Linked DNA regions of Saccharomyces cerevisiae S288C. The gene in region 4 interacts genetically with the main gene of each other region. Each region holds a gene or a part of one and is shown on either strand. Other genes may lie near its edges.

Region 1 (4,794 bases), on a different chromosome or scaffold from region 4:
TTGGATTCCTGACCAATAAGATTGTTGATTGACGTTGATGGGATAGTTGTGATGGATTCGTTCGTTTTGAACATATGTGCCCTGTTGGATTTTCTGTTGATAGACAACGACCTAATTCTGACGGACTTGTCTTTATTGGAGGTTAAAACCGAGTTTTGAAAATTCAACAACGACGAAGAGTTTCTTTTCAAACTTGTGTTGCTCTGGTCGTCGCCCTTATCTTCGTTAACAGCATCTGAATATTCATGTAGCGCTTTTATTGATTCCTGGGAGATAAGGCTGGTGAGAGGGTGGTCTGACAACAAAGTCAGCAGTGCTTTTACCCCCGTGCTATTCGTGACAATAACTATGGAATCCAAGACAGTCTGGTCTTGCATGCTACCATTGCTCTGGTTTGAGCCGGTGAATTTCTCGTTCAACTTGGTGTAGTACTCTTTGAACGGGAGTGACTTGGAGTTCTGGATTGTCTTAGTGAAAGAACCAATATTCTGCCAATTAATGATTTTTAAATTAAGCAGTTCTGCGTTCAGGAAAGTAGAAAACCACTTGAGAGAGGTGGGAGAAACGTTGATCTGGAAACATAGGTTTAGTTTCTTTTGAACATACAAGTCTTTGAAAGAATTAAACAATTTTTCAACCAAAAATCTTATGGTCTCCACGTAACGTAAAGACCCCGAAGACGACACCAGTACATTCAGATCAAACTTGTTTTCCGGTGTGCTGCGAGAGCTGATCAGACTTTTCAACTCCTCCCAAAACTTATCGTTATCTTCCGCAGTAGATGTGTTGGAAAAACTTTGCGCGATCGAATTTCTAAGCCGATGCAGCTTAAACCGTTTATTCAGTCTGGAAAGCTTGTTATGAGTCATCTCATCGTTGTAGTAGTCGATCGTAGGGATATCTATGTAAAGTAGGATGTTAAGCTTCTTTAGCGAAGGGTACCGGTCCGCCAAAGACGCTTGTACCACTGTCTGCTGCATGTTGGAGTAAGTGATCAGAAACAGCGAGTCCTGTGACTTCACACTAACTTTTGGTGAAGTGGACTGGGCAAAGCGACGCTCATTAATGCTCGCGGCTGCTGCGTCCGTACCGACAGTGTCCATCGTAGTGTAGGCTTCCCAAAATTTAGGATGTGATTAGTAATAGTGGTTGATTGCGAGCTCCGGGATGCGAGGGAGAGCGTGTATGTGTACTTCAAGTTCGCCAACTTCTCTCTTAAATAGAAAAAGAAAAGAAGAAAAAGGAAACGAAAAAAAAAAAAAGTAGGGAAAAGCTGAGTGATGAAGATCCGGGCTGCCAAGATTGGGTTTGAAACGTGTAGTCAGCTACAAACCAAAAATTAAAAGAACAATAGCAAAGAACCTTAGTAGGAAAACAATAAAATAATAGACACGACACCCGTAGAAAGATAGAACGGGACGAGGGGCCGGTTCAACAACTATCATACTTTCTTGTTCAACAACGCGATTAACCCAAATAATAAAAAAGCTACGAGACAAGAACAGACGAGGCAATACGAGCAACGAGCGCAACGAGAACGGTAAGCATGGCAACGGCGCGCACACCCACGCCCCGCAACCGCACACCTCAGCTCAAAGTAACCCACTTTAACGTGACTGGACCTGAGCTGTCTGACTCGGTCGTTTGCAAATAGGTTAACGCCGTCGCTTCTCCCTTTCGTGTACCGTATATCTTTCTTTAATTGCATTCCCTTGTTGTGATTATCGTTTCCCATTGCAGTGAGCTTTCATTTTGGGGACCCTGGGAGTAGGCTGTTTTTCGATAGAGTGAGAGGTGTGGGTTCTGCGGCAGAATGGATACGGGCCGTGGATCACTGTTTACGGGAGTTTTGCTTTGGTGGCAAAATTTTCGCTCGGTGATGTGTTAGTAGTTGTTATTCTGGTAAGAAACGAACGAAAGACGGAAAGGATTATGTATAACAGTGTATGTGTGCAGTGTGTGGAAAAGGTAAAGGTTAAGGGTGTGGAAGCAGTGAGAAGCAGAAGATTATAATATAAGTAGAGTAGAAGCATGTCATTGCAATTGTTGAATCCGAAGGCTGAATCGTTGAGAAGGGATGCGGCTTTGAAGGTTAACGTCACATCTGCTGAGGGCTTACAATCCGTCCTAGAGACCAACTTGGGCCCTAAGGGCACGCTAAAGATGCTTGTGGATGGTGCTGGTAACATCAAGCTGACCAAGGACGGTAAAGTGTTGCTGACCGAGATGCAGATCCAGTCGCCTACAGCGGTACTGATTGCTAGGGCAGCTGCCGCGCAGGATGAAATCACGGGCGATGGGACCACGACGGTTGTGTGTCTTGTGGGTGAATTGCTTAGACAAGCGCACCGTTTCATTCAAGAGGGCGTGCATCCGCGGATCATCACTGATGGGTTTGAGATTGCGCGGAAGGAGTCCATGAAATTTTTGGACGAATTCAAGATCAGTAAGACGAACCTTTCCAATGATAGAGAGTTCCTTCTGCAAGTGGCCCGGTCGTCGCTGCTAACCAAGGTGGACGCTGACTTGACGGAGGTCTTGACGCCCATTGTAACGGATGCGGTGCTAAGCGTGTACGACGCGCAGGCTGACAATTTGGATTTACACATGGTTGAGATCATGCAGATGCAGCACTTGTCTCCTAAAGATACCACTTTTATTAAGGGTTTGGTATTGGACCACGGTGGTAGGCATCCTGACATGCCCACCCGTGTGAAGAACGCGTATGTTTTGATTTTGAACGTATCTTTGGAATACGAGAAGACTGAAGTTAACTCTGGGTTCTTTTACAGTTCTGCGGACCAAAGGGACAAGTTGGCCGCTAGTGAGAGGAAGTTTGTGGATGCCAAGTTGAAGAAGATCATCGACTTGAAAAACGAAGTTTGTGGCATGGATCCAGACAAGGGTTTTGTTATCATTAACCAAAAAGGCATTGACCCCATGTCTTTAGACGTGTTTGCCAAACACAACATCTTGGCTTTGAGAAGGGCCAAGAGACGTAACATGGAAAGATTGCAATTGGTCACTGGCGGTGAAGCTCAGAACTCTGTGGAAGACTTGTCGCCTCAGATTCTTGGGTTTTCTGGCTTGGTCTACCAAGAAACCATAGGCGAGGAAAAATTCACATACGTTACAGAGAACACTGACCCCAAGTCTTGCACCATCTTAATCAAGGGCTCCACTCATTATGCCCTCGCTCAAACAAAGGATGCGGTGAGAGATGGTCTCAGAGCTGTGGCAAACGTTCTCAAGGACAAAAACATCATTCCAGGCGCTGGTGCGTTCTACATCGCCCTTTCGAGATACCTAAGATCTGCCAACATGAACAAGTTGGGTGCCAAGGGTAAAACAAAGACAGGTATTGAGGCGTTCGCAGAAGCATTGCTGGTAATTCCAAAGACTTTGGTGAAGAACTCAGGATTCGACCCATTGGACGTGCTCGCAATGGTGGAGGACGAGTTGGATGACGCTCAGGATTCTGACGAAACGAGATATGTTGGTGTGGACTTGAACATAGGTGATTCTTGCGACCCTACCATCGAGGGTATTTGGGATTCCTACCGCGTACTAAGAAATGCTATTACCGGTGCTACAGGTATTGCCAGCAACTTGTTATTATGCGATGAATTGTTAAGGGCAGGTAGATCCACTTTGAAAGAAACACCACAGTAATAAAAAATAATAATAATAATAATAATAACAAGAACACGAATACTAGTAGTAATAGTAGTCAGATACAAAAATTCTATGTAACATATTTTTTCCAGTCACTATCATCATCATCATATTTTGTATATATACATTTATTATATAAAATATCATACCAATTTTTGCCAAAGAACACCGTTTCCCTCTTCGCGTTGACCACAGTAATTGCAGAAACGACAAAAAAAAAACAAAAAAAAGAAGCACCATTCTAACTCAGCCTTTAATAACCTGACATGATAACTTATAATAGTCATTGCCAGTTGCTAAGTATCTTTGACCAAAAATCACAACATCATGGCTGTGGAGGAAATTGCGTCCCGCAAGGACATTAGTTTAAGAGATATGCAAATCTCTGCCATATTAAAAATGCTGTTTTTAAATAAGGATTTGAACAACAACGACAACATCACCACCATCACAGACGATATTTTTAACCAGCAGGAGATCATCTGGAAGGTGTTGATACTGGACATCAAGAGCACTGCTACCATATCTTCTGTTCTCAGAGTCAATGACCTGCTGAAAGCTGGTATCACCGTTCATTCCTTGATTAAACAAGACAGATCTCCCTTGCCAGATGTCCCTGCCATATATTTCGTCTCCCCCACAAAGGAAAACATTGACATTATAGTCAATGACTTGAAAAGCGACAAGTATTCTGAATTTTACATCAACTTTACCTCATCTCTGCCCAGAAACCTCCTGGAAGATTTGGCTCAACAAGTCTCCATCACGGGTAAATCTGATAAAATCAAACAAGTTTACGACCAATACCTGGACTTCATTGTAACTGAACCGGAACTGTTCTCACTAGAAATTTCAAACGCATACTTGACATTGAATGACCCGAAAACCACAGAAGAGGAAATCACGGGCTTATGCGCCAACATCGCGGACGGTTTATTCAACACTGTCTTAACGATCAATTCTATCCCCATTATAAGAGCAGCTAAGGGTGGGCCTGCTGAGATCATCGCTGAGAAACTGGGTACAAAATTACGTGATTTCGTCATCAATACCAATTCCTCCTCCACTTCCACTTTGCAGGGAAATGATTCTCTGGAAAGAGGAGTGTTGATTATTTTG
Region 2 (5,092 bases), on a different chromosome or scaffold from region 4:
GTATTTTTTCCTTTCCTCTAGCCAATGACTCCAAGCTGGCTGATAAAAACAAACTAAACGGTAAAGCCACAAATCCGAAATGTATCACCAATGATCACCCAGCCTGCTAAGTGCCCTCTATTGATCCGTATATCAGCTTTTAGATCAGGCTCGAGTTTCTTGTTATATGTGCATTGCAAAAGCATAAACAAATCCTGGCAGCCGAAGCCGGGCAATCCACTTCGAAACGCACGGCTGAACTATATAAATATAAAGGACATGTGGAGAGAAGCTTCTCTTCCTTCACATTTCGCATTTCATGATCTAAAGTGGTTCTTTCACAATAGAAGAGCACCAACACGAAATATGGCTGTCGGTGGTAATAACTGGAGCATGTGGCTGCGAATGTCACGGGTCCACCTCAGGCAGATCACGAAGTCTCTGGACCGAACGCTGATCAGTTTGAGCCATGGGAATTTTTCCCACCAATATAATCGCAATATTTTTGTCACTTGGTGGAAGAGCCTATTTGAGGCTTCTACAGCTTTTAGGAGGGCAAGTGGTTTAACGGTATCTCCTCTCACGAGGAGAGGAATCGCAAGGTTTGACCATTTCAGACCTGTTCCCAATGTCAGTAAATTTGCTTCTTTTCCCAGAGTGCCCAAAGGAGCCCCAAGGGGCCTTTTTACCAACTGGAATATGACTACATCAAAGAGATTATTAGGGCAGAGAGCTTATTCGACTTCCAGTATCAAATTTACCCAAGAAGCCGTGAATAACATGACTATATCTTTGAGGTGTTTTTTCAACTCACTAGGCGGATTAAATCAGTGCTCCCACTCTAATTCCTGCAAAGCTTATCAGAATGCGTCTAATGTTACCTCTAAACAGGATCACGTCCAACCAGTTGCCCTTAAGAAGTTATCTCAAAAGGATATCAATTTCATTCGTAATTTAGAACTATTTAAGATAATGAAGACCCAGAATGAAGTCGTTGATGAAACAAGCGCATATTACATGGAAAAACCAGGTTCCTATATTGAATTTACCATTTCAGAATTTAACGTTAATGGGACATTCTCCGCACCTTTGTCATTTTTAGATCCTTCTTTGTTAGCGGATTTGGATGAAATGATTAGAAATTACAAATACGAATTAAAATCAATATACAGTAGTGTTGACATGATCTTGCAGAATTATGGATCATTGCCGATAACTTTTCATCGAAATAAGATTCGAATACATTTTCCAAACTCAACTGTGGTGGAAACAGAAAAACTAATTGCAGGTCTGAATATTGCTACGGGTGTTATTTACGCAGATACGTCTCCCGATATCAGTCTAGAAGGTACAAATTTGAATGCTCTGGTTAATGTTGACAATTCAGGAAGCGTATGGTCTTTTGTTAAGGAGCCCTCGTTTCCCTCTAGGAGCGCTTTTTCACCTATTTTATCAGATGCATCCTATGATACTTATGAATTGGTCTAGCAAAGACGTTGTTTCATCGCGCTATTACCAAGAAGGTTACTTTACTTGTTCTTGCACATGGACGCACGTTGTGTGTTCATATATATATATATATATATATATATATATTTGTGCTTGTTTTCATTGTCTCTATAGTTAATACATTCTATTTTTATCGTTATATTTGCATTCTCTTCGCATAAAAACTTCATGAAAATTCGGCAGAAAATAAGCCATATATGTACTTTATCCATAGGCAAAGAAAAGCACTTAACGAGAATATACAACAATTGCACTAGTACTGCATGTATATACTCTTATGATTATAGCGGCAAGAAAACAAATATAAACACACTAACAGATGAATTCGAATGAAGATATACATGAAGAACGCATTGAAGTTCCACGAACTCCCCATCAAACCCAGCCAGAGAAAGACTCTGATCGCATCGCTCTCAGGGATGAAATATCAGTACCAGAAGGCGATGAAAAAGCATATTCGGATGAGAAAGTAGAAATGGCAACCACAAATGCATCCAGTAACTTTGGCTCAAATGAAAGTGCAAAAGACGGCGAATCAATCGGCGCCTTTTCAAATCCCCATGAGGCTCTGATGCAGTCAAAATTGAGAGAAGAATCCCAGAGTAAAACCATACTACCATCCGATGACCTCAGCCAGCAATTAGAAACCGAAGAATCCAAAGTTGAAGAGGCTCTAAAAAGAATAACCTCACCCCCATTACCACCGAGGGCTGACTGCATAGAAGAATCTGCATCTGCTCTTAAATCCTCATTGCCTCCAGTGCTAGCAGGAAATAAAAATGATCAAGCCCCCCTTGACCGACCACAGTTACCTCCGAGGCAGGTAGTTAATGCGGAAACTCTTCATTTGAAGGCGCCCCATGGTAATGCGACTCCCTCCAAATCACCAACGAGTGCTGTAGGTAATTCTTCTTCATCGACCCCTCCAACCTTACCACCACGCCGTATAGAAGATCCTTTAGACTTGGCTGCTCAAAAACATTTCCTAGCGAGTACATTTAAGAGAAATATGCTCTTTTATAAAAGTGAAGATAACTCTATCAAATGTGATTTGGATAAAAATATACTAAATTTAAAAGAAGATTCAAAAAAAATTAACAACAATGAAATTCCTGAAGAGGTTAGTTCATTTTGGTTAAAGGTTATCGGCGACTATCAAAATATCTTAATAAACGATATCGAAACCTTACATTTCCAACTATCTCGAGGTATACCAGCCGCTTATCGATTGGTAGTCTGGCAGTTAGTAAGTTATGCAAAATCGAAATCCTTTGACCCTATATATGAAACGTATCTAACGGAAATGGCACCTTTTGACGTCCAGGAATTTGAAAATCAGCTAAAAATGATGGACGAAGTTCCCTCTGAATACGTAAAACGCATAAGTAATGTGTTAAAGGCTTATTTACTTTTTGACCCAGAGTGTGAGTTTTCTACCGACATTGCTTATATTATCAATATGATTCTTGACGTTTGCGAGGAGGAGGCAAATGCATTTGGTCTACTTGTACGCCTAATGAAAGTTTACGGTTTAAGACTCTTGTTCTTACCAAGTGCTTCTGAGATCGATATTCTTTGCTATAAATTTGATAGACTTGTAGAAGAATTTTATCCTGAAATTCACAACCACATGGTTGAAAAAGGCGTCCGTTCTTCCATGTTTTTGCCCGGTTTCTTCACGACACTGTTTCAAAAGAAACTTCCCACTGAAATTCAACCACGTATCGGTGATATGGTATTTTTAGAAGGTATTGACTCTATTATGAGAATTTTAGCCACACTTTTATCTAATTCCCGAGACCATCTGTTAAAAATGGGTTTTGATGATATGCTGGAGCTATTGAAATCAGGTCTGTTAGATGCTTATATTAAGCAGAATGATGGTACACGCGGTGACACTCTTCTCTCAAATGAATGTATGGATAAATTACTACAAGACTCTATGATGAAAGTAGCAATAACCCCAAAGACTATGAAGAAATATTCTTCTGAATATGAGGAAATTCACAGATTGGACAATGAAAAAGAAGTGCAATATAAGTCTATCACGGAAAAAAATTTACATTTACAAAAGCATGTTCGTAAATTAGAAAACGACTACACATCTTTAAATAGAGAGCATGTGACAATTGCGAACGAGTTAGTGAAAAATCGGCTTAATATCGAGTCTGTATTAAATGAAAATAATGGTTACAAACTTCAAATTTTAGATTTGAAGAAAAAGTTGGATTCAGAAAAAAAGAAGCAAGTTTTAGGTGTATATGTGCCCAATGATTTAAAGAAAGATTTGGAAGAGACAATGAAAAAGAATACCCAAGTAATGGACGAAAATTTGAAATTGCAGGATAGGATTTCAGAACTAGAAAGGCTTATTGAAGAAATAAAAACTGCAAACAAAAATGGTACGTTATTCGAATATTCTAATTCTAAAAATAATCCTTTGGGAGCCGGCTGGTCAGGATTTAAAAAGGTTTTTAAATAGTTAAACTGTGTATATCAGCTACTGCTCCCCTTGAATGATACATGACTAAATATAATGATAAATTTATTTCTTGATTTTTGATTATTTCATATTTTGTTGACATTTGAGAGCTTCAATTGTATAAAGTTGCAAGATAATATATGAGGTTAGGGAAGCCGGATAAAGAAAATAGAGTACTTTAAAACTGTTCATGGACTAAGAATTCAGTGACGATGAAGTAGTAAAGGAGAGTGTTTAGGATATAAATAAGACCGAGAAATTGTTAGTAAGCATTACTTCTAGCAGAAATAATGAACCACAATCGTGACAATATATACTCGAGTTAGCAGTTAACAGTAACCCTTTCCATACCATTCTAAACTTTGCAACAGTAAATATCTTGGCGTTTAACGTTTTATTTTATTCTACGTTTCTCAAATATCGGCTGTACTCATGTGGCACATCATGAAAAGAGCCTTCATATCAAGAATTCAAGAATTTTAATTACATCGTGACAACGGTTTCCTAAACTTTTAGTAAAAACAATTAAATGTGCAATTTTGTTGATTATACTGTGGACAAATTGAGCTTAGTACGTTTCCTTCTTCTCTTTCTGCAATTATATTTAATTAAATAATCTCGTATTCTCGCATCCGGGCACGCTTTGTGAAATTCATTTGAGAAACCAAAAACAGCTGATCAGCTAGAGCTATTAGAAGTTAGTGCCCAGGGGTATAGAAAAATCAGTTTAAGGAAGAAAAAGCTCACAGAAGAATATGCAAAAAATTTTCAGACCATTCCAATTAACGAGAGGCTTTACCTCTTCCGTAAAAAACTTCAGGCAATGGAGACTGATTGAAACAAGGAAGATTGCCAAACAACCGAACTACCAAGTTGGTGATGCTAAACCTTTACATATGCCAAAAGAAAGAAAGAAATTTCCAGATTACAAGTATGGGGAATCTAATATCTTCAAACAGAGTAACAAAGGTCTATATGGTGGATCTTTCGTTCAGTTTGGTAACAATATTTCTGAAAGTAAAGCCAAAACGAGGAAGAAGTGGTTGCCAAATGTTGTCAAAAAAGGTCTCTGGAGTGAGACTCTGAACAGAAAAATCAGTATCAAAATGACCGCTAAAGTTT
Region 3 (4,011 bases), on a different chromosome or scaffold from region 4:
AGAAATATTTGCAATACAATTCGATTTAACTTGAAGTTGATAATTAAAATTGCTGAAGAAAACTCCGCTATTACAATTTTCAGAGGTGACTATTAAGTCATTTCTCTTCATTTGTAAAAGTGAGAATAATCGTAATATTTGCTTACAGTAAGGAAGACGTATCGCATTAGGTATCTTATCTTCTGAATTGTAATCATATCCGGAAACTTTTTTGGTTCCTCTTACTGCTGCAAATAGAGACGAATCTGAAATATCTCCCTCTTGTACGTCTTTTTTGGGTAAATCAATATTTCCCTGAATTTCTTGGACTTTAGAACATGAAAGATTTTTCCGTTTGCGATTTTTATTGCGTCTGCTAGCAATCTTCTCTATAAGTGCACATATGTCTTCATTGGGGATTTGGGACCAATTCTGATTTTCTATATCGGTATTTTGATTCTCATTTGTTGGGAAATACTTCGTCTTTTGTAATGGGGCAGATTGCCTTCTAGTTTTATTTTTTTTATCTGCTATGTCTTCTAAAATTTTACAAATTCTGCTCGTACTGAGTTGAGACCAATCGTGCCCTTTCTCAACATGGACGTTTTCCTTCTTGAGACATGGGATAGTTTTCATTGATAGTTCCATTTTGTTTTCACTTGCGCTCGTTTTGGCATGTTGAATGGCATCCGCCAGCATTCTTGCTTTTGGGTAATAAGGACAAATATCCATTATATCCAAATCTTCCTTTTCCTCATAGCCTGTAAAATTATTAGGTTCGGATACTGTGTGCTCTATGTTGTTATTAAATGTTATTATTGGTCTTTTGTGGTTTCTTAATATTGTTCCACTATCGTATTGAAAGTTTGATTTTTCAGAAGCCAAAATAGCATTCAATACATTATTTTGGTACATGTCCCGAATTAGCTAACAAATTTCTTAGTATTTGTGTTACAACAATTAGAGATTTTGTTTTGTTTATTTACTTTCATCAATTCACGTTATTTTGCCGCCGACGGCTTTGAGACCGCACAAAGTTTTTTTTCACCAGAGCAATAAGCTGGGTCATTTAAACTATTCGCAAATCAAGGATTCAAAAGATCTTTTCTTAGATATATTTTCTTCGTGATTCGTCATTAAATAGAACATGAAATAAAAAAAATAAAAAATAAATATGCCTATACATTATGAATATATATTATGCTATAATTATTACTTCTCCTTTTTAACTTCAATTGATTGATCTTCTACGTATGGGCCAAATAGTTCAAGTGAATATCTTGTTGAGGGTTTGCGCCCTTTCCATATCAGTTCAGGGAAGACTTTCCATCTCCAGATGAACTGGTAATTGCAGCTGACGTTGAGCGTAATGACCCTTAAATGTTCCAAAGAAACAATGTAGAAATAAATCCCCATACCAGTTAATATATGCCACCATCCGTGTGGTTCAAGCAGTACACCAAGTGGTAAAGCCAAAATACTTCTTCTAACGTGCACCCAGAACGAACAATAGTGTATATCAAGTAGCCACGAAATGTAGCCAGATAAGAACAAAATTGCGCCGAGCGCCATTGAAGCCTTGAGATTTCTTTTGGCAAGTGGATCATGGACGTATCTGTACGTCAAACTTCCTGCAGTAGCAGCCACAACTACAATCTGTACGCCAAACAAAATTTGATGGATATCGACATTTTTGTAAATAACGTAGAGTATGCTTGCTGTTGTAACGGCCAGGCCGATAATTACGCCGATGAATATCTGTTCAAATAGAGGAACCTTCTTGTGATTATCTCCGTTAAGTAATGCCTCTTTGGCCTCGCATACTAAACTCCATGTCGGAATGCACATGGCGTATATCATTGGAAGTTCATCCAATAGTTGGAATCTATACTTCAGTGTCATATGAAATAGCCATGATCCTACTCCGACCAAACCGTACCCGAAGCCAATAAGTAAAAACCTTTTTTCTAATTTATTCTTGTAAGCAGAGTAAGTTGTGTAAATCGCTGACAGTATGAATACGCTGTTAGTTAAAGTGTTTGACCACTCGGCAATATAGGGAGAAACGACATAGTTCTCCTCACACCAGTCAATAGTGGAAGTTGTTTCTCCCCAAACGCCGGGGACAGAACTCTCTGGATAGTTCCAACGAAATATTCCCATCAATCTTCTATTTTCTTAAATAAAGATTTCTGCTTTTATTTACAAATTAATCTCTGTAAGTATCGGACCTTATAAAAACCCCTTACACAATAACTATATAGATGTATATAGGATATATAGATATATATATGCAAATATCTTTTTCCTATAAGCGATAAAAATAAAATGCTACCCGAATTCTATTTAGACATATATAACCGGAGACAGATATTTTTTATGTCATGGGGTAGAGTAGTGCGTTTGAAAGTATCAAACAAAAAGTTTCAGGGGCCGGATCTAATCGGCATAAATATTTTCCGATGTCTCGCGTTAAAAAACTTGCGTGATAATCCGTCCGCACTAGTGGGATCGAAAGAAGGGGCGTGGTCAGAAGGGTAACGTTATGTGAAACCCTTGCCTTTGAATCTTTCCTGCTATGCTACGTCGGCCGACACTTCCATTTGAAAAAAATATAAACGATGGTGTTGCCAAGTATTTTTTTTCGCCTTCGTTTAACGTCAGCATTACTAAAAAGGTTAATGGTTGGCGATACTAACTAAAAAGAATTTGTAGAAATGCCATGAAGATTTTCACGCTGTATACCATGATTCAGCAATACTTTTTTGATAATGGCGGTGTTTATAGTATAAAGAATTTTTATTCTGCAGTTCCGAAGGAGAAAATGAACATAATTCTTGTTTCACTTGATTGTGAGCTCCAAAAGCTTGCTCTTAAGCTGTCAAAGAAAACTAGTGGCACTCACACTACGCACTAGCTTTTACACCACATCGTTATTGTTTTCCATTAACGCTTACGTAAATTTCATCTATCATTCTACCTGTACCGTTCCCGATGATAGTGGCTTACAAAACGGCTTGAGGTACAGTTGGTTCGAACTTTTTGCATTATTGTTGCCTTCTTTTTTTAGTAACAAGCGGCGTCTTTGTTTCTTCTGCAAAAATAATCTCGCTCGAGTAATTGGAGGCTTGGCAAAACTTAAATCTCCACGCATACCCGGCTTCCTATGTTCGTGAAGGACTCAAAAACATGAACTATCCTTATCCATCTTTCTTTTGCCAAATTATTTTAGCCAATCTATATAACACTACATCATTCCTTTGAGTCTTTCTTTATCATTCATTCGAAGGGAGAAATATACGAGCCAAATTCAAAGACAGACTATTTTTTCGAGCAGGCCTATCTCATCAGAAAAAAATTTAATAAAGCTCTAGATAAGCAAACACAATTATTTTCAAAAAAATTTCTGCTAAATGGGTAGAAGAAAAATTGAAATTGAACCTATCAAAGATGATAGAAATCGTACAGTTACTTTCATAAAGCGAAAAGCAGGACTATTTAAAAAGGCTCATGAATTGTCAGTACTTTGCCAAGTAGACATTGCTGTCATTATTTTAGGATCCAATAATACATTCTACGAATACTCTTCTGTTGATATGAGTAACCTGCTTAATGTTCATCAAAACAACACTGATCTTCCTCATAATATCATAGAACCATCTGATTATGGTGACTATGTGAAAAAACCACGTGTTGTTCTGAATGAAAGGAAGCGCAGGCGAAGAAGAGCAACCGTGTTGCAACCAGCTTCCCATTCTGGGAGTTGTACAGTTTCGAGTCAAGATTCCTCCAGTGTACAAAACAATGGGAATTTAAGCGCTCCGTTGGCGTCAAATGACGCCGGGAACGCTGGTGTAAGTACACCATTGGTGCATTGCCACGGAGCAATATCACGTAGCGGATCCAATCATTCTGACTGTGCAAGAAATAGTGCAGATTATCAAATGTTGCAAGGCGGTTTAAATTCTGGTGGGAGTTTTCATGCTAATGATTATAAAGAAAGCGTAGACCAACAGCATGTTGCAAACGAGG
Region 4 (3,854 bases):
CGACGACACCACCGTTAAATTCGTTGATGGCGTCGGCCAAGGAGTCGATGGTTGGGATATCCAAACCATTGGTAGGTTCATCTAATAGTAGGACATTTGGTTGTTCTAAAGCTAATAAAGCAAAGACGACACGAGAACGTTGACCTTCTGACAAGGTAGCCATTTGAACGGTTTGACCTTCCCCGGTTAGCCCGTAGCGACCTAGTTGGCCTCTCCAGAATTGGAAATCTTGTGAGATGTTAGAGTACTTGTCACGGACAAATTCTAAAGCAGATTTTGTCAAGTCCAGTTGATCTTGAGAGTGTTGCGAGTAGACACCCAACTTGACATGGGTATGTCTAGAAACACGGCCAGATTGTGGGGTCAATTCACCGGTCATAATCTTCAACAATGTGGATTTACCAACACCATTTGGTCCGACAAGGGCAATACGTGAGTCCATATCGACACCAAAGTTCAAATGTTCGTACAAGTTTTCGGATGGGTTGCTCTCATAATGAAATGAAATATCATCGAATGCTAAAACTGGTGGTGGCAATCTTTCCACTTGTGGGAATCTAAATGAGAAAACTTTGTCAGGGACGACAGGTTGGACTAAACCATCTGCTTCCATCTTGTCCAAAATTTTTTGTCTAGATTTAGCTTGTTTCACCAAGTTAGCATAAGTACCAGCAGATGCAATGAATTTTTTAATATGTTGGATTTCCTCTTGTTGTTTATTGTATTGTTTCATTTGATTGGTTTCCAATTCGGATCTTGTCTTGTGATAAGAATCATAGTTACCACCGTAAGCAGTTAGTTTTTGAGCTCTCATGTCAATCATATTGGTACAAACACCGTTCAAGAAATCTTGAGAGTGGGACACCAAAACTAAAGTTCTGTCAAATCTCTTCAAATATTCTTCTAACCAAACACAAGCTTCCAAATCCAGATGCGCAGTAGGATCATCCAACAATAATAGAGTTGGCTTAACGAAAAGAGCTTTTGCCAACGCAACACGCATTTTCCATCCACCAGACATATCTTTGGTTTTCTTCAAAATGGTCTTCTTGTTGAAACCTAGACCGATCAAAATGATAGCAGCTCTAGATTCAAAGGTGTCTGGATCCAAAGAGTCCATTCTTTCATATAGAGGCTCTAATAACTCGGACTCAGGACCATCTTCCAAGATAGTCTTTTCGACTAAGTCTTCTATTCTTTTCAATTCGTGTTGAGCTTCAGTGACAACGTAGTCCAAGGCCGACAATTCACTTGGTTCCGCAGGTTCGTCCAATAAATAAATATCAATATGCTCAGGAATAGGATATTCTCTAGTAGCAAGAGCCTTTAAGAATGTTGACTTACCACAACCATTTTCTCCCAGAAGACCATATCTACGGCCGTAGTTTAATTCTAAACCAGAATCTTGGATCAAAACTTTACCGTGGAACAGTAAAGAAACAGAAGATAGCTTGATATCACGGGAAGTCTCCAATGAACTCAAAACACCAGTGACAACACGATCTGAAAGACCATCCTTATCTTGTTGCAACTTCATCATCTTGATTTCTCTAGCGGCTGCATCTACCTCCGATTCTTCAGCAGCAGCCTCCTTTTTTCTACCTAGCTTTCTGATGGTTTTACCGGCAGCGGCTTTCTTAGCCTCTCTTTCAGCTTTCTTAGCATCTCTCTTGGCCTTTGACGCAGATACTGGTGGCATATTTGGTTCTGTCAAGTTACTGTTTGTAGCACTGAGGGGAAGAAAACAATTTTTGCAAGAAAAAAGTTAAGAAAGAAGAAGAAAAACTACACGGGCACTAACATGTTAAATATGATAATATTTTTTTTTATAAGAGAATCACTACCAAGTTACCTGAACTACGTCAAGGAAAAGCCATTAATTGAGATGAGGTGAACGAAGAAAAAAAAAAAGAAAAAAATTTTTATTTTTTTTTCCATCGGTCTCCCCCCTCACCTTTCTTTTTTCATTCGTTTAAAGTGAGATTAGGGTAATGCATTTCGTATTTAGTGAGTAAACGTCAAAGGTGATATAGGGGGTTTTTCTTTTTCCAGAAAAAGAAAGAAAAAAGCCGGCGGTCGCCGCCGGAGATGGTTGAGAAAAAAAGGGGGCAGCAACGTGCTTCACATACAAACCAAGTTCTTGGATCTGTACGATCGTTTCTGCGGGTTTTTCCGTATTTGCCGCAATACTGAAATGGCTCATTATTAGGAGATGTGCATATAATGTATATACATACATTTAGCATATGTAATACATTCGTACATGTATAGAAATATATGTTTATATATATATATATATATATATGTATATACGAACTCGGTTTAACGCATAGTTGGTAAAAGATTTAATGTAGATAAAAAACACATAAGTTTTATACGCACGTAATCATGACTATCGCTAAAGATTACAGAACAATTTATAGAAACCAAATCAAAAAGCAGATACGACTAAATCAGGAGCATTTGCAAAGCTTGACACATCTAGGCTCACAAATCAATTTCGAGGTGGATCCTCCCAAATTACCGGATCCGGATCCTGCTCGAAAAGTATTTTTCTTTGATATCGATAACACTTTGTACAGAAAATCTACGAAGGTACAATTGCTCATGCAACAATCATTATCAAATTTCTTTAAATACGAATTGGGGTTTGACGACGATGAGGCAGAACGCCTAATCGAATCGTATTATCAAGAATATGGATTATCCGTGAAAGGTTTAATAAAGAATAAACAAATTGATGACGTCCTACAATATAATACATTCATCGATGATTCCTTACCTTTGCAAGACTATTTAAAGCCTGATTGGAAGTTAAGGGAGCTGCTGATCAATTTAAAGAAAAAGAAGCTCGGCAAATTTGACAAACTATGGCTGTTTACAAACTCGTACAAAAATCATGCCATCAGATGTGTTAAAATATTAGGTATTGCTGATCTATTTGACGGCATAACCTATTGCCACTACGACAGACCCATCGAGGAAGAATTCATTTGCAAGCCAGATCCAAAATTCTTCGAAACAGCTAAATTGCAAAGTGGGTTGTCGAGCTTTGCAAATGCCTGGTTTATTGATGACAACGAAAGCAATGTGCGGAGCGCGTTGAGCATGGGGATGGGCCATGTTATCCATTTGATAGAGGATTACCAATATGAGTCAGAAAATATTGTTACTAAGGACCACAAAAATAAGCAACAATTTTCCATATTGAAAGATATCCTTGAGATTCCATTGATAATGGACGTTGAAGTTTACCGTCCATCCTCTATTGCCATAAAGGAAATGGAAGAGTTGGAAGAGGAAGGGGAAGCAGTCAACTGGTCAAATCAACAGATCAATGTTCAGTCATCATGACTGTTACCTGATTTTAGAAAACAAATTTAATATTCCCTTCAGGATAGAAATTTCAACATCATTTGTCGTTTCATTAGAAATATCCAAAATACAATCTTTGAAATATTCTGTTACTTGACATTTGGGACCAAAAGGAATAAATTTCGAGCCATACATCGTTAAAATAAAATATAGTAGATTTTTATAGTTTTTACAATCAAAAAATTCGTTAAACTCTTTGATTATATTTTGCTGTATAGTTTCAGTCCGACCTTGCTTTTCACTAAAGCGTCTCCTGAGCAAGGCGCTTTGTAAATGAGGGAAGATTTGTAGTAGCCTATAATGTAAAAAAAAGTCGTTCTTGTCCACAATTTCGAAATATGAATTTATGAAATGTGCCTCATTAAATAATTCCAGGACCTTAAAACACAGTCTATGGTCCGATTCCATAGCGTTAAAAACCTTTCTATCCAAGATTAAACATATGAAGGCTTTCAGAAAGAATTCTCTAACATCATCAT

Evidence for each region.
Region 1: mutations in PHM8 (region 4) and CCT6 together harm fitness more than expected from each alone (negative genetic interaction), as found in Saccharomyces cerevisiae (one large-scale study listed by BioGRID).
Region 2: mutations in PHM8 (region 4) and GYL1 together harm fitness more than expected from each alone (negative genetic interaction), as found in Saccharomyces cerevisiae (2 studies listed by BioGRID).
Region 3: mutations in PHM8 (region 4) and YPC1 together harm fitness more than expected from each alone (negative genetic interaction), as found in Saccharomyces cerevisiae (one large-scale study listed by BioGRID).

What each region holds. Positions count from the first base shown.
Region 1 is NC_001136.10:834,390-839,183, forward strand, and holds CCT6 (chaperonin-containing T-complex subunit CCT6), read left to right. Parts: upstream 1-2,031; coding exon 2,032-3,672; downstream 3,673-4,794. Other genes in the region: SND1 (Snd1p), read right to left, coding at 1-1,103; SLY1 (syntaxin-binding protein), read left to right, coding at 4,003-4,794. UniProt on the Saccharomyces cerevisiae protein: Molecular chaperone; assists the folding of proteins upon ATP hydrolysis. Known to play a role, in vitro, in the folding of actin and tubulin. In yeast may play a role in mitotic spindle formation.
Region 2 is NC_001145.3:645,311-650,402, forward strand, and holds GYL1 (Gyl1p), read left to right. Parts: upstream 1-1,807; coding exon 1,808-3,970; downstream 3,971-5,092. Other genes in the region: SPG5 (Spg5p), read left to right, coding at 346-1,467; mitochondrial 54S ribosomal protein bL28m MRPL24, read left to right, coding at 4,726-5,092. UniProt on the Saccharomyces cerevisiae protein: Probable GTPase-activating protein which stimulates the GTP hydrolysis rate by GYP5 of YPT1 and SEC4. Involved in ER to Golgi trafficking and polarized exocytosis.
Region 3 is NC_001134.8:594,246-598,256, reverse strand, and holds YPC1 (phytoceramidase), read right to left. Parts: upstream 2,143-4,011; coding exon 1,192-2,142; downstream 1-1,191. Other genes in the region: YBR184W (uncharacterized protein), read right to left, coding at 1-894; YBR182C-A (uncharacterized protein), read left to right, coding at 2,702-2,896; SMP1 (Smp1p), read left to right, coding at 3,393-4,011. UniProt on the Saccharomyces cerevisiae protein: Alkaline ceramidase that hydrolyzes phytoceramide and also dihydroceramide into phytosphingosine or dihydrosphingosine. Prefers phytoceramide.
Region 4 is NC_001137.3:223,501-227,354, forward strand, and holds PHM8 (bifunctional nucleotidase/lysophosphatidic acid phosphatase), read left to right. Parts: upstream 1-2,388; coding exon 2,389-3,354; downstream 3,355-3,854. Other genes in the region: ATP-binding cassette family ATPase ARB1, read right to left, coding at 1-1,699; Smc5-Smc6 complex subunit KRE29, read right to left, coding at 3,358-3,854. UniProt on the Saccharomyces cerevisiae protein: May be involved in phosphate metabolism.